2 linked regions of the Macaca fascicularis genome follow. The protein of the gene in region 2 binds, or shares a complex with, the protein of the main gene of each other region. Links are inferred from orthologs where the notes say so. Each region holds a gene or a part of one and is shown on either strand. Other genes may lie near its edges.

What was found.
Region 1: the proteins of REV1 (region 2) and POLD3 are in contact, whole or in part, in an NMR structure (PDB 2N1G), measured with the Homo sapiens proteins. The link is inferred for Macaca fascicularis from reciprocal best matches to the Homo sapiens genes REV1 and POLD3. Residues at the interface, in NP_057400.1 of Homo sapiens: Asn1158, Leu1159, Ala1160, Gly1161, Leu1171, Leu1172, Glu1174, Trp1175, Ile1179, Met1183, Glu1184, Glu1185, Asp1186, Gln1189, Val1190; in NP_006582.1 of Homo sapiens: Gly232, Asn233, Met234, Met235, Ser236, Asn237, Phe238, Phe239, Gly240, Ala242, Ala243, Met244.

Annotation. Positions count from the first base shown.
Region 1 is NC_088388.1:73,485,074-73,495,897, forward strand, and holds part of POLD3 (DNA polymerase delta subunit 3), read left to right. Parts: intron 1-4,681; coding exon 4,682-4,949; intron 4,950-6,136; coding exon 6,137-6,209; intron 6,210-10,824. UniProt on the Homo sapiens protein: Accessory component of both the DNA polymerase delta complex and the DNA polymerase zeta complex.
Region 2 is NC_088387.1:3,894,734-3,905,557, reverse strand, and holds the end of REV1 (DNA repair protein REV1), read left to right. Parts: intron 1-751; coding exon 752-854; intron 855-2,399; coding exon 2,400-2,565; intron 2,566-2,792; coding exon 2,793-2,986; intron 2,987-4,229; coding exon 4,230-4,463; intron 4,464-5,072; coding exon 5,073-5,193; intron 5,194-5,791; coding exon 5,792-6,009; intron 6,010-6,097; coding exon 6,098-6,254; intron 6,255-6,552; coding exon 6,553-6,655; intron 6,656-7,548; coding exon 7,549-7,660; 3' UTR 7,661-7,958; downstream 7,959-10,824. Other genes in the region: EIF5B (eukaryotic translation initiation factor 5B), read right to left, coding at 9,380-9,487, 9,873-10,034. UniProt on the Homo sapiens protein: Deoxycytidyl transferase involved in DNA repair. Transfers a dCMP residue from dCTP to the 3'-end of a DNA primer in a template-dependent reaction.

The sequences.
Region 1 (10,824 bases), on a different chromosome or scaffold from region 2:
GATAGAGTCAGGGGACAAGACAGTTATGACTTATGACACTGAAGGTTATAACATCTCACTTGAGGCTTGAAGGCCCAATAGAAATAGCCAAGCAAAGGAGAAATGAGAGGCTAAGGACAGAGCTAAGAGAGAAAACATGCTTGTGCAGAACCACAATTGTTTTCTGTGGCTGCAACTTAGAGTGAAAGGTAGGAAATAATTAGATAGAAGACTAAAAAGGCCAAGCAGGAATTACATTATGCTTTGATTACTAGGATAAAAATTTAGACTCTATTCTGAGAGCACTGGGGAGCCACTGAAAATATTTAAGCAGATGGAGTGAAATTATCAAAATTGCATTTTAGAAAGATTGTTCTGGCTGCAGTATTGAAGATAGATCAGAAGAGAATAATCTGGAGGCAAGGCCATCTGGGAGGAGAAATGTGGCTGTGATCCAGGTGGATACGACAGTTTTCTGATGTAAAGTTGTGCTGTTGGGGATGGAGAGGTGTGAAGTTTAATGAGTCATGACCATCAAAAAACCTTGACGTGGCCGGGCGTGGTGGCTAATGCCTGTAATCCCAGCACCCAGCACTTTGGGAGGCCGAGGCTGGTGGATCACAAGGTCAGATCAAGACCATCCTGGCTAACACGGTGAAACCCTGTCTCTTCTAAAAATACAAAAAATTAGCCGGGCGTGGTGGCAGGCGTCTGTAGTCCCAGCTACCCGGGAGGCTGAGGCAGGAGAATGGCATGAACCTGGGAGGCGGAGCTTGCAGTGAGCCGAGATCACTCCACTGCACTCCAGCCTGGGCGACAGAGCGAGACTCTGTCTCAAAAAAAAATAAAAAACAACCTCAATGTATGGTAGTGGTCAGGGACAAGGTGTGTGGGGGTAGGGGATGGGGGAAGATAGCCTTTCTTGGTATTAAAAGTTTGATACCCCTGCTTCTGGCTTGGGCAGCTGAGTACTAAGAAGGGGAATATAACAGGAGGAGCAGGCTTTAGGAGAGAGAGAAAAATGACAAATTGGGTTTTAGAGATGTTGAGTTTGAGAAGCCTGTGAGAAATCCAAGTGAGGATGTCCATCGCAAAAGATAGGTGAATCTAGAGCTAAGGAGAGAAATCTGGGTTAAAGAGAGATTTTGGAATCAGAAAGAATAGTAACTGGGCCATAGTAGTAGATAGTTATGCAGAGAGAATGTATAGAATGAAAGAAGGGCAGAAAGTAAAACTCTAGGCCAAATTACTAGCTGCGTGACCTTGGGCAAATTATTTAACTTCTCGGTGCCTCAATTTTCTTGTCAGTAAAGCTGATAATAGTACCAGCCAAATAGGGTTGTAGAGGATTAAATGGACTATTATATGTTAAGCACTTAGAATAGCACTTGGCACATAGTAAGCACTATTTAATGATAGTTGCTTTTCAAGGGAAGAACAGAAAAAGGGGGGCTCAAGAGGGAGCCATCAGAGATAAGAGTATATGGGGTTTTAGCCCCTAAGGAAAGAGATTCAAGTAGGAGGGACCAGTCAACAATGTTAAACGTTGCTGAGAAGCCAAGTAAGTTAGAAAGTGAAAATTATCCATGGAATTTAGTGATAGCCTTGGTAAGAGCATTTTCAGTGGAGTGACCAGATTCTGGTGAGCTAAGTAAATGGGAACACAGGAAGTGAGACAGCAAATATGGACAGATCTTTCCAGGAGATTTGACTGCAAAGCAGAAAAGAGGGTGGTAGCTAAGGAGGGATTGAGACGGGAAGGATATATACGTTTCTAAAGTTGAGAATGACTTGAACTTGGATTGTTAGGAGGGTGCTATAGAGAAGAAAAGGCTGAAAATCCTGGGGAGGTGGGATGACTGATAAAGATGGGTCCTCAGGGAGAGAGAGAGACAGAATTGCCATAGTTTCTGTAAGTTCCATGAGAATAGGGATCGTGTCTCAGTTGTTAACTATATACCCAAAATAGTGCCTGGCACACTAATAAGTAGTTATTGAGTGAATTAGTGATAGACATTAGTTCTTTTTTTTCTTTAGCTCAAAACCTTGAGCATAAGTATACAAATATTTATTAAATAAACAAATGTATAGCCAAAGAGTAATAATTTACAAGTCTCTTGTCTTTTAGGGAAGGATTTCAAGAAAATATTAACACCCTGATAAGTTTATTTGAAATATATTACTAGATTTCAAAAAATTTTAAAATCTAGTTGGGTATTCCAGGCTCTAAAAATCAGTTCCTTTGTTGTATCTAGCAAGTAAGCAAACAAGAATAAACGTGACGCAAAAGTTCAAAATGAAATCTGCCAGGGCCCACTAAAATAAACATGGCAAGTAGAAATGTGGTAATAGGAAGCACTTCAGTGAAACTTTACCTAATTACTTAAAGTATCCTCAGTAGAAAAGTGAATTTATCTCCAACAAATGAGTTTGTATTTGGTCCTGAGAATTATGGGCCAACTGAGATCTGACTCATGATTTCGTGTGTTTTAAGTGCCGTGACATGAAGAAAGTTGAAATTTTAGGATTGACCAGAGATCTCTTGTCATCAGACATACTCCCAGCCTAACTCGGTCTCTTCCTCATTGCCAATTCCTGGTCCTGACCCTAAGGTGTGGAATTCAAACCAGAAGGAGAAAGAGTTGTTTCAACGCCAACTTCAGACATTGACAGTGAAATAAAACATTACCCTTTTCCTTGTATGTGGAAGTACTGCAAGGCCAGAGAGGAAGAGCAGTGGGTGAAAGCAAATGATTTCCATCTGTTCTTAACTCTGATGCACAAAAGATGTGTGTAAATACAGAGTTTTCTGATGAAGACCATAATAAATCAGTGGAAGATTTTTGGAGCTTTTGACTCTAGCTTTGGGGCTGTCCAGTCTAAAGTTACTTCTGAGATGAAATGATGTATCAGGGATTTTCTTTTTTTTTTTCATTAGACCAGGTGTTCTAGCAGTTAATCTCGAAGTTGTGCCTGGTTGATCTTTAAGATAATTGCTATCACCACATAGTTTAGAAATCTCCCACCCCAAGTTGAAGGTGATACACTAAAGAAGGGAGAGAAGCCAGAAGCCTCACTTTCATTCACTTAGTCATTCTTTCAACATGTTGTTTCTAGCACTTTTCTGTGCCAGGTCTTGAGCTGGGTGCCTGAAATAAAAAAGATAAATAAGACTTCAAGGAGTTCTTACGTATGCTCAATAAGCAAGACTGGGAAAAATAAAATATTTTTCTTTGTTAGAAAAAGCTGGGGAACTTTGCTTTTTCTAACAAAGAAAATAATCCTGTGAGAAGGCTAAATTAATTACCTATTCACAATGTGGAATGTTACATTATGGATTTGTGTGAAACGGCACTTCTATAATGATTAGAGAAGAGATGTATGTTCCCTTTAATATGCCACGCAAGCTGTTCCACCAATTTTCTTCTCTTGGCCTTGGGCATACTTACTTGTCTGGTGCCGTTAGTATTATTAGAAATTATTAACAAATGGCTGTCAAGGACTATAGGTTATTGGAGCCAGTGGCTCTGCTCCCAGCTTCTCCTATTTTTCTTTTTTTTGTTTTTTGTTTTGAGACAGAGTCTCACTCTGTCACCCAGGCTGGAGTGCAGTGGTGTGATCTTGGCTCACTGTAACCTCTGCCTCCCAGGTTCAAGCAATTCTCCTGCCTCAGCCTCCTGAGTAGCTGGGATTACAGGCACGTGCCACCATGCCCAGCTAACTTTTGTATTTTCAGTAAAGACAGGGTTTTGCCGTGTGCCAGGCTGGTCTTGAACTCCTGACCTCATGATCCACCTGCCTCGGCCTCCCAAAATGTTGGGATTACAGGCATGAGCCACCACACCCAGCCTTTTACTTGTTTTAAAGCATGATTTGTTTATTTATTTTGAGACAGCGTCTCACTCTGTTCCCTAGACTGGAGTTGAGTGATGAGATTATGGCTCAGTGCAACCTGGACCTCCTGAATTCAGGTGATCCTCCTACCTTGGCCTCCCGAGTAATCAGGGCTATAGGCGTGTGCCACCACACCCAACTAATTTTTGTGTTTTTTGTAGAAACAAAGTTTCACCATGTTGCCCAGGCCGTCTTAAATTCCTAGACTTACACGATCTGCCTACCTCAGGTTCCCAAACCTCTGGGATTACAAGCATGAGCCAGTACACCCAACCCTGCAGCATGATTTACTCTGGCCAAGAGCGTTGCCAGGAAATTTGTTAATATTTAAAGCTTAGTTTTGATTCAGTCAATATTTATTGCAAATCTAGCCCTATCAGAGGAAGGTCTTTAAAAACAAGGGCTATTTCATTTCCCAAGGATAATGAAATTACTGCGTCTTTTATTATTGTTGGTTGCATTCTTTTTTGAATTAGGATACTTTTTTCAAAAAAAGCAAGAATATTCAATTAATGGTGGTAGAAGGCACCTAATTCCAACCCTGTCTGTTACTAACTAGATGTATGACCTAGTACAAGTGACTCACTTCTCTCTAGTATTTGTTTCTTTATGTAATAGAGAGTTTCATACAACATTTTTCTAAAGTTGATTTTAAACAATATTAGAGTTAAGTATTGTGTGGAAGAAGCAAGAATTTGAAAATAAGGTTGTATACTGACATTAGTTTTTTTTTCTTTCTCTTTTTTTTGTTGAACCACCCAAGAATGCATATGCTGACATTAACTTAATGTAACATTTCTGTCCCTAGATTTAGTGCTATACAGTGTGCAGCTGCAGTCCCTAGATCTCCTGCTGAATCTTCTTCATCTTCCAAAAAGTTTGAGCAGTCACATCTTCACATGTCAAGTGAGACACAAGCCAACAATGAGCTGACCACCAATGGTCATGGCCCACCTGCATCCAAGCAGGTTTCCCAGCAGCCCAAAGGAATTATGGGAATGTTTGCCTCCAAAGCTACTGCTAAAACCCAAGAAACCAACAAGGAAGCTAAAACAGAGGCTAAGGAAGTAACAAATGTAAGTCTTCTTTGAAGATACCCTTCATTACAGCTCAGAGTGGGTAACTAGAAAAGCATTAATGGTCCCAGTGGTAGTAGTTTATTTATGTAAGGTTCTGATACTCAGTTCTGATTTTTCTACTTTAGTTTGAACGCTTTCATACTTGATACTGTTACCTGAAAGAGTTCTTTTGCTTTTGATAATGATTCTCACCAAGCCTTGGATTTCCTTTGCAAACGAGATTGTTGTGAGACCCAGATGAAAACATGTGAAAACACCTCTAAAATTGTTAACATTCAAAAAAATGTTTATTTGCAATATGTCATTCTGAGGAATATCTTATGTTCTGGGCTTTGCAATATATACCTTCCTTCCTAGTGTATTTCCCATTCTTATTATACTTTATGTGGGTTTTTTTGTTTTGTTTTTGCTTTATTTGCTTCCCTTAGATTTTTATTGTTCAGTCATCTGAACTAACTTAAGGGCATTGACTTAAGAAAAGTATCATTCCAATACTATTTTAAAAATCCAGAAAAGTATAATTATTGTTGTTACTATTATTATCACTGTCATTTTCAAGTGTCAAGTGTATTCAATTCAGATCACTGTCATTTTCAAGTGTCTGTCTTGGGGAAGAAGGATGGAGGAAAACAATAATGTTTATTGAATTTCAGCTGTGTGCCAATAGTTTGGTCTTTGTTCAAATCCTCTTATCAGTTCTGTGAGGGAGGTATTAACTATTTCCCTTTCACATATGGTGAAACTGAAACCTAGACTTAAGTAATTTGCCTGGAGCTCATATTGCTACTAAACGGTGGGAACCAGGAATTCAGATCTACTTCTGATGATTAAAAATGTAATGTTTTAGGTTTTCCCGCTTTGTGTACATACTGCCTCTGATCTTTTTTAATTCTGTCAAATTAAATAGTTTTTAAATGTGCTCAAGAAAAGTTTAGACATATCCATGGGTACTTAATTTTATAAGATCTATAAGAAACTAAGCTTTAGAGATTAACACCAGTTACTATCTGGTGTGGATTATTGTTCTAGATTTGTTCTTATATCTAACGCCTCTGCATTTTGGCACTATTATATAGAGACTATACTATCGCAGCAGTGTGCTATAGAAAAGATTGTTTGAGACTGCTACTTCATGAACAGCCTAAATGCTAGCAAAAAATCATACGTGTTTTCTGTGCTTGTAGGCATCTTCAGCAGGCAACAAGGCCCCAGGGAAAGGGAATATGATGAGCAACTTTTTTGGAAAAGCTGCTATGAGTAAGCATGTTCTTACCTTACTTTGACTAATGAATGAATGTTAATGTAATGACATATTATACCGGAAGTAAAAGTTACTTTGTTTAGTTTTTGCCTGTCCAGGAGACTACCTGCATCCTAACATAAATTTACAGTGTACTGCCCAATATATTGATGAAAGTAACTTAGCTGGAACTTTATGGGTGAGTTAGGCTCAGTTGAGATCTCTTCGAGAGCAGTTTATTATTCCTGGTTTAACTTCCCGCCTTGAAAAGATAATGAACTATTTCCTTCATAGGGCCCTTGAAAATGGGTGATTAAAATAAAAGGGAGGCTGCCTGGCTACGCAGTATAGTATTGAGGTTAATAACATGGATGCTAGAGTCAGTTTGCCTGGTGTGACCTTTATTTCTTCTATCTCTCAAGGGTCCACAAAAGCAAATATTTTGCCTTTCTTTGGTTATTTTTTGCAGATTACTTACAGTAATGAATTAGACTTCCAGTGTGAATTAGAAGGGCCCGAGTCATAATGGACATTTAAAAATCTTTTTTTGAGAAAGCAAAAATCTTCTTTATTTTTAAAAAGGTACTTGAGTAAGAATTCTTCTGTATGGAAAGAACCAGTAGTCACATATTTTCATACTTCTCATATCAAGTGTACATCCCCTGAGAGTATGTGGTAGAATACCAGGAAGAATGCAGGAGCCACAGGATAATTATGGCACACTTTCTTGGAGCATCAGTTTTACAAAGATTTTTCAAGGAGGCATTTTGTTACATGCCTATGCAAGCAAAATTAGTCAAAATTCTGCCTTTCCATGATGGCTAAATTTTTTTTCATATTCTGCTTATGTAAGCGTGACAGTTTTTGTGTTTGCTATAAAAGCTGTCAGAGAACATTTTTGTGTTCTTGCAGCTCAGAATGGGTAACTAGAAAAGTGAATGGAAAATGTGATACTTAAAGGTTTCTGGGAAGCATTGTTGTATTACTGCAGGCACAGTTGGTGTACAGGGAATGATTCCTACTTCCGTTAAAACAGGTCCCCAACCCACAGGCCACTGATGGGTAGCAGTCCGGGGCCTGTTGGGGACTGGTTTGCACAGGAGGTGAGCAGCAAATGAGCAAGCATTATTATGCCTGAACTCCACCTCCTGTCAGATCAGTGGTGGCATTAGATTCTTATAGGATTGCGAACCCTTTTGTGAACTGTGCATGTGAGGGATCTAGGTTGCGGGCTCCTTATGAGAATCTAATGCCTGATGATCTGAGGTGGAACAGTTTCATCCTGAAACCACCCCTACGCTGCTGCCCACCACCACCCCTGCCTATGGAAAAATTGTCTACCATGAAACTGGTCCCTGGTGCCAAAAAGGTTGGGGACTGCTGTGTTAAAGCATCATGCTGTCACTGACCTGCCTAGCTGGTATGGGCCACTGTACCCAATCAGATCATGGTTTCTTGGCAACTTTGATGAGACCCATCTTTTTGTTGGTTGCTTTTTTTTAAATGCATTTGTAACCTTAAAAACCCAGTGAATTTTAAAATTCTTATTTTTAAAATACATAAAATATGTGATTGTGAATTGTTTAAAAAAATCAAACTATACAGAAGTGTACTTATTTAAGTCATGTGTTTAGTTAGCAAATAGATCAAGCACCTGCTATATGCTTGGCATTGTTATGCACTGGTGATACAATAGAGAAAAAGACAAGGTCCCTGCCTCAAGTCCTTATACTCTACTGAGAGAGATGGACAAATAAATATGGAAAAAAAGCCAGGCATGGTGGTACATGCCTATAATCCCAGCTACTCGGGAGACCGAGGCAGGAGATTTGCTTGAGCCCATGAATTCAAATCCAGCCAAAAATATAGCAAGACCCCATTCCTAAAAAAAAAAAAAAGTGGATGATTGTAATTGCTAGGTAGGAGTAATAAGGTGTTATAATGGCATGTAATTCAGTGAGGGGGAAAACCTGGATAAAATAAAATACTATTAAATATTAATGTAAAAAAAAGAATTGCTTACAAAGTTAATTTATTTAACAGACATTTCTTCAAGGCTGAATGTTCAGAGTAAAATTAGGACTTTTTTATTGTATTTGACACATGACAAGATCATTACAATGAAAATGAAGCTTGAGAATTGGATGAAGAGAGTTCATTGTGGGGACTTGAACCATGTAAACTTAATATTGGACAGTAACAAGTGTTGCCAAGGATATGGAGAAATTGAACCCTCACGTTCTGCTGTGGGGAATGTAAAATGATGTGTACTCACTTTGGAAAATGATATGGCAGTACTTCTAAAAGTTAAACATAGAGCAGCAGTTCCTCTCCTAGATATCTACTCAAGGGAATTAAAACTGTATGTCCACACAAAAACTTGTACATAGATGTTCATAGCAGCATTCTTCGTAATAGCCAAAAATTGAAACAGTCCAAGTCTGTCATCTGATGAATGGATAAACAAAGGTGGTATATCCAGACAATGAAATGTTATTCAGCTATAAAAAGTAATGAAGTACAGATTGATATGTGATATACATGGATGAACCTTGAAATATTAAGTGAAATAAGCCAGATAGAAAAGATCATATATGATTTCATTTGTATGAAACATCCAGAATAGGCAAGTCTATAGAGACAGTAGGGGCCGGGCGTGGTGGCTCAAGCCTGTAATCCCAGCACTTTGGGAGGCTGAGGCGGGCGGATCATGAGGTCAGGAGATCGAGACCATCCTGGTTAACACGGTAAAAATCCGTCTCTACTAAAAAAATACAAAAAATTAGCCGGGCATGGTGGCAGGCACCTGTAGTCCCAGCTACTCGGGAGGCTGAGGCAGGAGGATGGCGTGAACCTGGCAGACAGAGCTTGCAGTGAGCCAAGATCGCTGCACTGCACTCCAGCCTGGGCAACAGAGTGAGACTCTGTCTCAAAAAAAAAAAAAAAAAAAAAAAGAGAGAAAGAGGAAGGAGAGGAGAGGAGAGGAAGATTGGTTGTCAGGGACTGGACTGGGGTCAAGGAGGAATGCTAATGGGTTCAGGGTTTCTTTTTGGGGTGATGAAAATGCTCTAAAACTGGACAGTTATGGTGGATATACAACCAAAACCCACTGAATGTAAAGTGATGAATTTTATGGTATGTGAATTATATCTCAATTTTTAAAAGTAATGCTTTATATGTGATAAAATTCAGCATTGATTACAAAATTTAAAGGTCATAATTGGTTATCTTTATTTGCTTGAAAAGGTTTCATGTTTTCTTGAGTATAAGAAGGAAATGCTTTTAATCAGCTAGAAAATAGGTGACTTGATCATTCAGGTAACAAAATGTCATTAAATTTTCCTTAATAATCGCCTTAAATTGTTGCATTGAACTACCTCTTTACCAGTTAATTGGCTATTGGTAGCTGCATATATGTTTAAGTTAGAGTTCTCAAAATTCTGTGAAACCAAGACAGAGAGAAGAAACTCTGGATGCTGAATCTAATGTTTGATCAGTGGTATTTTAATTGAGATCGGTTTTCTGTAATTGGTAAACTCAATGCAGTAGCCTCGCTTTCCTTAATACATAAGGTAGGTAGGAAGTGTTTGGAGGTTTTTTCTCCTAATGATGCCATTTTTAAAACAATTGCTATTAAAACAGTATAATTTATGTGATAGATTGAAAATTTTGCATAAATTTTAAAGCTACACATGTGACTCCAGTGTACTGTATTTTTTGGATTGGCTGTTGACCCCTAGAGCCCTGGAGATGCATGTTTACTCTCTTATACAATTTGGGATATTTGAGAGGCACTGATACTTGAGAACAACAGTTGAAAATGCAAGAGTATGCCATCATTGGAAAGGTGGATTCCACCGTTCGCATTTTCTATTCAAGTCTTCAGGAAAAATAAAAGTGTAAATAGATTACATTTTACACTTTGGTCCATCAGCTACACCTTCAAATAATACACATTATTTATAAATTATTATACTAAGCTATGCATAATAGCCAAGACTATGATACTAGTTTTTTCTACACTGTAGAAGGTTTAAGCTATTATAACAACATATAACCAAAACTACTTATTGAAGCGCCTCCAGCTATTGACAGCTTTCCAATAGTATTTTGTGACTTTACTTGTGAAAAGCTATCACTAAGTACAGTGTGAAGGCTAGATGACATGCTTCTGTAGTTCCTCAGATGGTGAGGCCTTTTTGCATTTCTTAGTTCTCCCTGTTGCACAGTAGTCATTCTTCAGCTCGGTGTAGGAAAAGGGTTAAGGACTTTGAGGAGTTAAACTGACTTCTGTTCAAATCCCAACTCTTACCTTTTCTGTCAGTGTTACCTTGGATAAATCATTTAACCAATACTGATCTCTTTTAGTCCTTATAATAATCTTGTAACTATTATCCCAGGTGTAGAAAAGACTGACTTTTAGATAAAATAACTTGCCCAGAGTGAAGCGGGGTTTGAACCAAACTTCTTTGAATCCAAAATGTCTTTAACTTTTATCATTAAGGTAGTAGTGAGATATTAAGGGTATCCAGGCATTAAAAGATAGAATATATAGAAAGTAAAGGTCTTGGCTACAAATCGTTGTCACCATTTGTAAACTGTGTATTGTTGGGAAACATCTTGTAATCCTTC
Region 2 (10,824 bases):
ATTTCTTGTTTAAAGGCCTGGAACTTCATTTGTTCATTAATCTAAAACACGAAATAACTTTCCTTTGGAAAGAGAACTGGTAGTAATTTGTGATCTGTTACTGAGTGAGTAATTCTGTTTGTAATGGGACACCCTGCTCATGCCAGAGAAGCTCAAACAGCTCTGAAGGAAATGGTGGGTGAGGTCATCACATCTTTGGGACCAAGTAATGCTGACGGATCATTTGGTCCTCTCTCAAGAGTTCTTAAAGATCTAAGAATTGTTTATTGGCTTTACTGTAAACACGAAGGAGAGTCAAGAAACAACATACCGAGAATTCATCTTTCTCTTCTGAATATTTGCTGTACCTCAGCATACATAATCTTGGAACCTAAAACTTCTCTTGGAATCAAGAACATTGTGTTTACCATTCATTTGTGCTTTAGCTGGAAAATATGTATTCATTTGTGCATGTGTTAGCTAAATTATGCCTTTTTCTAAATTTCTCAACTGATTTGTAGTTGACCCAGGTGTCCGTTATCGTTATTACCTTGAAGTTCCAGTGTTCCATAATTTTCCTTTCCCCCTTCTTTGCCAGTGTAACTAATTTGGTATTTCTGGCTTCCTGGAAGGGGGACTGTGGCATTCACTTTTATAATCTTTGTAACTGTTTACAACTTTTCTGTAACTCTTTTAAACCGTTCCATACTACTTTAGTACTAGTGAATACATATGGAATGAAGCTTTTGTTGTATAATTCTATCACTTACAGGACTGTAACTCTTGACCAGGCAACAGATAATGCAAAAATAATTGGAAAGGCGATGCTAAACATGTTTCATACAATGAAACTAAATATATCAGACATGAGAGGGGTAAGTGTATAGTAACATTGTAAATTCTGACTTTCTGTAATTTTTGTGTCATTTGAGGCTTGCTCTCAGAATGGTTATTGCTGGCATATAGGGACTTTATATGTAGGTCTTTAGCTGCTTTGTGATATAAGGAAAAGAGAAACAAAAATTCTTGACTTTCTCCATTTTGATCTTCTTCATTTTAGAATAATTTTCTCAGATTCTTACTGTGCTTTTCCAAGGTATCCCTAATTAACCAGGGGCTAATATACATGTCCTCCCTGTTCTTGTTTCCTAGAAGTAGATATGACTGAGGAGTATGAATACATAAATTTTGTGCCTTTAAGTTCCTTTTTAATCAGAAACATACTCTGCTGTCTGCCATATGATGACCTAGAAGGGAGTGAAACCACAGGCACAACAAGATGCCTTTGAAACAGGCAAGAGGCATCAAAATGTCAAAACCATAGATTTTTTGTGTGGGTTTTTTTTTTTTTTTTTTTGAGACGGAGTTTTTGCCCTGTTGCCCAGGCTGGAGTACAGTGACGCGATCTCAGCTCACTGCAACCTCCACCTCCTGGGTTCAAGCAGTTCTCCTTCCTCAGTCTCCCGAGTAGCTGTGGGTACAGGCACCCGCTACCACGCCCTTTTGTATTTTTAGAGACGAAGTTTCACCATGTTGGCCAGGCTGGTCTCAAACTCCTGACCTCAGGTGATCCGCCCGCTTCGGCCTCTCAAAGTGTTGGGATTACAGGCATGAGCCACTGTGTCTGGCCCCCATCTCTACTAAAAATACAAAAATTAGCCGGGTGTTGTGGTACATGCTGTTATAGTCCCATCTACTCGGGAGGCTGAGGCAGGAGAATCACTTGAACCCAAGAGACAGAGCTTGCATGAGCCAAGATCATGCCATTGCACTCCAGCCTGGGTGACACAATGAGGCTGTGTCTCAAAAGAGGAAAAAAAAAAAAAGAACCTTTGTAGGTTTAGTTTATTGTGTGCGTGTGTAAGTTAAGGGTTGTTCTGGCTTGATTGTGGACTTTGTTGAAGGATTAGTCACTAAGCCGGCCATAATTGTAATTTCTCCCTGAAATACTGTTACAGTGGCACTTTATAGAGGGGTCTGTGGTGTGCCTGCTGTTCACCAGTCCCACCAGTATTTTTTGAGAAGTATTTCATTTTAAAAAGATAAAAATAGTTAAGTTTCCAAGTAGCCTGTCCTCTCTTAATTTTTTTTTTATCCTAATTTAAAACCTTAGTTGACCAGAACATCAGTGAAATACAGTATTCCACTTGTTTGGATTTTCTGATTTTAAAGACGTTTTGGTATATTTTGGGAGAATTGGATACTCTGAAGTTTGAGATGAATGACCACTCACTAGCTAGTCTAGAAACTGTTTTTGTAATAACTCATATAGAATGCTGTTGTTTGAATACTTTCATTTACCTTTATTCTAGAAACAGGATCTAGGAGGTAGTGAAAAGGATTTGCTGAGGATTTTGCTTAGCTGAATTCATATTTTACTTTAGTTTTCCTGGAAGCATACTCTTTATTCTGGGTTCTAGGTTGGGATTCACGTGAATCAGTTGGTTCCAACTAATCTGAACCCTTCCACATGTCCCAGTCGCCCATCAGTTCAGTCGAGCCACTTTCCTGGTGGGTCATACTCTGTCCGTGATATCTTCCAAGTTCAGAAAGCTAAGAAATCCACAGAAGAGGAGCACAAAGAAGGTTGGTGGTCATCAGTGGGGTTCTCGTTTAGGTGCTGCTTATGTCCTTGGAAAGACGGCAGTTGGTTTTAAACTTGACACAGCTTTATGTGATTTAAAAAAATTATATTCTTCATTATGATGTATCAATAATAAAGTTTTTTTATTTGTAATGGACAGAGGAAATCAGGGATTAAAGGCCCTGCCCGATGATCTGAAGAGGCTATTTTATGTATTTTCTCTTCGTAGTATTTCGGACTGCTGTGGATCTGGAAATATCATCTGCTTCTAGAACTTGCACTTTGCCACCTTTTCCCGCACATCTGCCGACCAGTCCTGATACTAACAAGGCCGAGTCTTCAGGGAAATGGAACGGTCTGCATTCTCCTGTCAGTGTGCAGTCAAGACTTAACCTGAGTATAGAGGTCCCGTCACCTTCCCAGGTACATTTTTATAGTCCTAAATATAAGTACATTTTATACTCTTAAATATAAGTACAAAAATATAAGTTTACAAATGAAAATGGCATTTTTATTTCTTCATTTAACCAAGAAAGGGAGAATGGGTCACTTGTTCGGGTAGATCATGATGTTGGATTCTAAATAAGCAATAATTGGGTTGAATGAAAGTGCTTTTGCAAAGATTTGCCACTCTTGCAAGTTGTAAAGCATAGCTGAAAGGCAGTCCTCCTGTGGACTGCCATTGTCTGTGACAGTGGTCATCATGTAGACTTACTGTATTCAGCAAGGCAGCTTTGGTGATTAGTGGTGAAGTAGAGGCCTTATGTCAAAGGGCTTTTGCAGTATTTGCAAACAGGTCTCTGGAGTTTTGGATGGTTTAATTCAGCTTGTGTGGGCTGTACATGTGATATGCTGCTGGCATCCTTTGGTCCTTGAAAGTAAGGTAGCACCTTAAGCTATATTGGGCAAGTTCATTTGTGCCCCCGCTCCCCCTGCATGGAAGGAGGCAGGAGATGTTACATACTGGCTGTAAAACTAGGGGAAGGGGCAATGCTGATATGCTTGTATGGTGACAGATACCCACAATTAGTTACTCCTGGCAGGTAAGATTGGCCTACCCAAGTTGACGGGATTGTATGTTTGCAGAGGGCCAGATGTGCATGGACAGATGGAGGGAGGCCCTGGTCAAAGGAACAGTGGGCTCCGTCCTGCAAGTTAGAGAAAATTCAGCTTCTAGAAACCCTTTCTTCCAGTGTGCTGCTCTCAGAGTAGAATTATCTGTATTTTTGGGCAGTCTCTCATCTGAGAGGTGAACTTTTGACTCAGGACTGTTAACCTGTCCAGAATTTTAACATGTGCCTCAGGCCTTCACCCCTCCCCAGGGGTGGGATCTAATTTGAGCTTCACCAAGGTATCCATATCTGTTGGCCCCAATTGCAGGACATTCTGTGAGTATATTTGGACTTACCTGGTCATATGGTAGTGGCCAGTAGTATATACACTTTTCTCCAGACTACACATACTTCAGGCTTCAATGACAAAAGGCCAAGACGTTCCAAAAATGTGCTGATTTAGGGGTGGCTTTCCTAGCCTGATGGTCTGTCTGTACCTTACATTGATTATCCAGTGTTCAAATTGAAATGGAAAGTGGCATGTTAACTCCCAAACACCTCCTCTCTGAGCATGCTTTAATAAACTTCAAACTCATATGTTTGGCATTTTATAGCTGGATCAGTCTGTTTTAGAAGCACTTCCACCTGATCTCCGGGAACAAGTAGAGCAAGTCTGTGCTGTCCAGCAAGCAGAGGCACATGGTGACAAAAGGAAAGAACCAGTGAATGGCTGTAACACAGGAATTTTGCCACAACCAGTTGGGACAGTCTTGTTGCAAATACCAGAACATCAAGAATCGAACAGTGACACAGGAATAAATGTAATAGCCCTTCCAGCATTTTCACAGGTAAGTTAAATATGGGAACCCTCTGCTGTAGTTTCAGTATTCTCACCCCCCTGCTCCAGCTCAGGACCTGTCTCACTTCCCTTTCTCCCGTATCTGACACCACTTCCACTGGGAAGGGGAGGGAGGGAAGAGTGGGCTTGTCTCCATCTCCTGCGTCTGCAGGATGTAGACACTCCGAGCAGCCTCCTGCTGAAGCCAGCAGAGGGAAGAGACGGGGGAGGGCACGATAAGACAGAAGCACATTGATCTGGCGCAAACAGATCAGTGGCCACACTTGAATACAGCAGAGTGGAGATGTGTAATCCTACATGGGGGCAGCAACAACCCGAGCTCCTGTTTTCATGTTTTGCTTCCCATTTTCTACTAGTGCATTTTGCCCAGGTTGTTCTGCTGTTGTAGTGGTTTTTTTTAAGTTAGTACTCTTAATTCCTTGTTCTTGCTCTAACCATTTTGAAGATTTAATCAGCTTTGATATTAAGGAACCGTTAAGAATTCGTACAGATCAGAAAAGTAAGATTTGAAAACAAAATCTATTTTGTGAAAAAAGTTAAACCAGCTACCATCTAGAAGGGAGTTCAGGTTTGACTTTGACCTTGTCTTTTCCACTAGGTGGACCCTGAGGTATTTGCTGCCCTACCTGCTGAACTTCAAAGGGAGCTGAAAGCAGCATATGATCAAAGACAAAGGCAGGGCGAGAACAGCAGCCACCAGCAGTCAGCCAGCGCATCTGGTGAGCCTTGGAAGTGGCATGTAACAAAAATGAAGATAAAGAGTAATGGAGTCACTGTTGTCTAATTATTGCAGTATATAATGGCCAAAGTCTAAGCTGTTCGTTGCATTAAGAGCTCTTTATATTGGGATAATATCTGAAGTTTACAGTATGAGTAAATATTGTCATATTTTAGTTGGATTTGTGTCTGTACTTTCAGGATTTAAACACACCACTTACTACTTTTTTAAAAAGTTGGGATAGGACATTACCAGAAGTGTCTTGAATACTTGTTCAGCTAGTTGTCCTTTGAGATGAATAAATCAAAGGATGTAGGTTCAAAATGCATCACAAACACCAAACCCACATTTATTACTACCCATCACAGATGAGCAACATGCCAAAGGCCGAATTAGTAAGTGGCAAAGCAAAGAGAGAATTGGAGAGCCTGCACTTTCGGCCATGGCCATTCACTGCCTCTCACTTGGGGCAGGAGGGGAGGTGTAGGCTAGGGAGCCTGTTGTATCCGGGAGGAGAAAAGAGAACCCAACCTACTATCATCCAGACTATCCATACTATCAGTTTGTTGAGGATCTTGTATCTATCTATCTTCTCTTAGTGCCAAAGAATCCTTTACTTCATCTAAAGGCAGCAGTGAAAGAAAAGAAAAGAAACAAGAAAAAAAAAACCATCGGTTCCCCAAAAAGGATTCAGAGTCCTTTGAAAAACAAGCTGCCAAACAGTCCTGCAAAAACTCTGCCAGGGGCCTGTGGCAGTCCCCAGAAGTTAATTGATGGGTTTCTAAAACATGAAGGAACTCCTGCAGAGAAACCCCTGGTAATTCTTTAACTTTGACCTTTATGAGATCTTAATGTACCCGGATAATGTGTGAATATAGCAATTTTATCCTTTGTTTTCTTAACAGGAAGAACTCTCTGCTTCTACTTCAGGTGTGCCAGGCCTTTCTAGTTTGCAGTCTGACCCAGCTGGCTGTGTGAGACCTCCAGCACCCAATCTAGCTGGAGCTGTTGAATTCAATGATGTGAAGACCTTGCTCAGAGAATGGATAACTACAATTTCAGGTTGGCTTGGCCTGTTAGATGGCCCAAGGCTGAGATGTAGTCGTCTCATGATTTGAGAACATAAACAGACTAAACTATGTAGATTTAACCCATTTCTCTAACTCTAATAAGCTTAAAGCAGCTACCCCAGTATCTTTTAAATTCTGGGGCTTGCTTTGACAAGTAACAAAGCCCATTCCTTTGATAGCTGTTAGCGGCGTACTTGTAGAAAGGCAGTTTTCCTTTATCCGTGTAGATTTCTGACTTTCTCCTTCAAAAAGATATACTGGTCCTCATTTGAAGTTTTTCCCCTTCCTAGATCCAATGGAAGAAGACATTCTCCAAGTTGTGAAATATTGTACTGATCTAATAGAAGAAAAAGATTTGGAAAAACTGGATCTAGTTATAAAATACATGAAAAGGTAGTAATTCATCACTTTTATCAAATGGGAAAAAATGGCATGTCACAATGGCTAAGTGAGGGTGTACTGAGAAGTTTTAAACTTTCTAGGAAACTGTCCTCATTAGGGTTAATGAAAAAGTGATATCCATTATTCTGTCATGTTGACTAAGTAGTAAATGAGGTTCCAAGTGTGTCGCCCTCAAGTCTTACATGTGATTAGAAGACCACAGGAAGTGGGCTGGGCGCAGTGGCTCACGCCTGTCATCACAGCACTTAACTTCGGGTGGCTGAGGTGGGTGCATTGTTTTGAGACCAGCCTGGCCAAAATGGCATAACCCCATCTCTACTAAAAAAATACAAAAAAAAAAAAAAAAAAATAACCTGGGCGTGGTTGGTGCCCACCTGTGGTCCCAGTTACTTGGGAGGTAGAGGCTGCAGTGAGCCATGATTGTACCACTGCACTCCAGCCTGACAGCTTGTCTCAAAACAAGCTTTTTTTTTTTTTTTTTTTTAGTGTTCTAGGATTTTATTTTTTGAGATGAAGTCTCACTCTGTCACCCAGGCTGGAGTGCAGTGGTGGCATCTTGGCTTACTGCAGCCTCTGCCTCCTGGGTTCCAGTGATTCTCCTGCCTCAGCCTCTCGGGTAGCTGGGATTATAGGCATGTGCCACTACGCCCAGCTAATTTTTGTATTTTCTATAGAGACAGGGTTTTACCATGTTTGGCCAAGCTAGTCTCCAACTCCCGACCTCAGGTGATCTGCCCACCTCGGCCTCCCAAAGTGCTGGGATTACAGGCATGAGTTGTTTTTTTTTGTTTTTTTTTTTTTTTCGCCAAAATCAATTTTTATTTTTAAAAAGGAATAGTCTTAAGGACTTTTCCTGATGGCATTTCTTCTCTCCCCACCTTTAGGTTGATGCAGCAATCGGTGGAATCAGTTTGGAATATGGCGTTTGACTTTATTCTTGACAATGTTCAGGTGGTTTTACAACAAACGTACGGAAGCACATTAAAAGTTACATAAATATTACCAGGGAGCCTGGTGCTCTCCGATCGCTGTGCCATAAGTGCTTGTGAGGTATTTGCAAAGTGCATGATAGTAATGCTTGGAGTTTTTATAATTTTAAATTTCTTTTAAAGCAAGTGTTTTGTACATTTCTTTTCAAAAAGTGCCAAATTTGTCAGTATTGCATGTAAATAATTGTGTTAATTCTTTTACTGTAGCATAGATTCTATTTACAAAATGTTTGTTTATAAAGTTTTATGGATTTTTACAGTGAAGTGTTTACAGTTGTTTAATAAAGAACTGTATGTATATTTTGTACAGGCTCCTTTTTGTGAATCCTTAAAAACTCAACTCTAGGAAGCAACTACTGTTTATTATACTAAAAGGCTGAAAAACCTCCAGGCCAGACTGCTAAGCTCTGAAATTCCTGAGAGGTCTCAGACCGGGATTCTACTTGTTCCAAGAAAGGGTAAAGCCTCTAAACCATCTTATTCTTGTCTCCAAGCATGAACACAGGAGCATGTTAAGAAAATCTTTACTTCTTCCATGTGGAGAAATCTACATATTTTGAATTAGAAACACCCTCACACCCACTTGAAGATTTTTTCTTGGGAACATTATGTCCCATAGATCAGAGGTGATGTTGTCTTTGCCTCTACTGGCCATTGAGAAACTTTGATGATAAAAAAGAACGGTATAGATTTTCAAACGGATATAAAATATTTTTATGCTATGTTATGCCGTAACTTTAAAATAAAAATGTAGTTTAAAATTCTGTGCTAGTGGATATTTGGAACTTTTTCCTCAAACACCCCACACTGACTTCAACAAAACCCTAAAACTAGCTACAGATTACTACTATGAATGAATCATTAAGTTGTGTCCGCAACAATTTAGAAGCACTAAGCCCAAATACCAGGAGATGTATGTATAATGGAATTTTCTAAGACAAAACAGATCCAGATTAATGTATAAAAATCTCGACTGTTACCAGGTGCTGGCATACAAGGTAGTGTGATAGTTGGTAAGATAATTCTTATCCTAGGAGGACAGCTTGTGGGAGAGAAGCTACACTAACATGGAAGCCTAACAGAGCTTGCTGGTGGATGTCTGTTTTCTTTATTGGTAGTTTGGTTTGGAATTGTGATGATTACAATGGACTCATGACTACACAAGCAGTAAAAAGCAGCCAGCTGTGCTTTTACACCGTGGTTTCACACAAAGCAGATAAATACCAGAATGCCTAATTTTCTATTTTATAAAAGCCCTAAAGGCATATGGCAGAAGAATGCTGGAAAAATCACTGTGGGAAGAATATGCATAAATAAAGAAGTATTTCTTACATCAAAAAAGTCCCAAGAATCACAAAATCTGCAGAAGCTTGGTTAATCAAATACTGCAGTACTGATTTAATCAGTATAAAATCGAAAGAGCTTTAGATCTGTAATAAAAATCCAAATTTGGGGAAGGGCAAACTTTAAAACAGCAGCCAAGTAGAGAAGGGTTGGGGAAAGGAGAGGTGAGTGAACAGGCACGTTGGAACTGTGGGGACATGTAATTGACCACTGTCAAACCAGTGTAAGTTTCTTGGTTTCTCATGGAAAACATTTTATACACCTATTTTTCTTCCTTCCATACTTAAGTCCATCAGTGTCCAGATACGTCTGTTCCATTTTTTGGTGGGATATTACAACACAGTATTGCATTTACTCCAGTTCCTGCTCCGTGTGAAAAAAATTAGATGATTTCAAATACTTTCTTCAGCTCCACAATAAGCTGCCAGTCACTCTTCTGCATTTCGTCTCTGAACCAGTCTTTGAGTGCATCAATGGACTGCCGGCTGATCTGCAATGCCCGAGGCACAAACAGGGTAAACAGAACGTAACAAACATGTGCCAAAGAAAGCTGTGGCCCCAGACGCCCGCTCTCACCGTAATAAAGCTTATACAGGGCTTGCCTGCCTAAGGGAGTAGAATTCCGAAATCACATCTGGTTGGTATGTCAGGCACAAGGGGATCTAAAAGTCCTAGCTTTCTCTGTTGGTGCTGCTTTCCTGATGGGGCAACTTCCTCAAAAGACAAGGCCCAGCTAAAGGTCAGGCCCTAATGGGGGATCCAGTCCCATCAGATACTACAATCAAACTGAAGCCCAAGGAGCTTCTGGGCACAGGTGACCCGAGAAGAGTGATTCCCCATTTCTTAAAGTCTGCCACTTTTGCCGAAATGCTTACCTTACTGACAAGAATGTCTGTAGCTTCAAAATGTCTTCCAAACATTTTGGGTGACTCACCAGGGATAGGTTCTATTTTTACACAGACTTCTTGTCCTTTTTTTGCAACATCTACTTGTTTATGGTTTATTTCAATACTTGTTACTATTCCGATGTCAACAAACTGTAAAATAACATATTACAATGCATGCTGAAGAATTCATGCCAATCACAGGCGCCATGGCTGGACAACTGAAATAAGAACTGGAGCAAAAGCCTGTTTTAAAAGTCATGGCAGTGCGATCCTTCATTCATCCCTTAAGGTCTCACAGTGTAATGTTTTGGTAAATTAGGCTGGCACCACCAACACCCTGTTCCCTTCACGACGGCTGTAAGAATGACAGGAGATAATGTGCTTTGCAAAACATTCCAAGTGCCCTGTTGACCCAATGTCATTTCGTATTTTTGCTCTACCATTTCACATGACAGGTGCCATAATAGAAGGGATCAGCAGGCACAACGGGTCTGAGTCAGGAATGAGCTTGAAGTGACTGGTGGGAATGAAGTCAGAGTGAGGACCGATCCTGAAATTTTAAGAATGATGGCCTGTGAGCAGATGAGTGATGTGATCTCAGAGTTTGGGGCAAAAAACCCTGACTCCTTTGTGGAGAAAAGGATTCAGGAGAGTAAGAGTGAAAAGAAAGAGAGCTCTGTTTGATTTAGGAGGCCAAAGCCACATAGAAAATAACACAAATGTCCTGGCTTAGTCCACTGAAATGGTAGAGAATCAGTGACAACTTCTAAGTGCCACTGCCCATTACAGGAACCAGGTTTGGGGCAGGGAAAGTACCAGATGAGGCTGGAACATCTCACTGCACCAGAAAGGAAGAAGATGCTCAGACTACTGTGTGTCAAGGATATAGGAGCCAGTTTAAATGAGCTCCTACTGACCACACTGGACAATCTATCAAAAG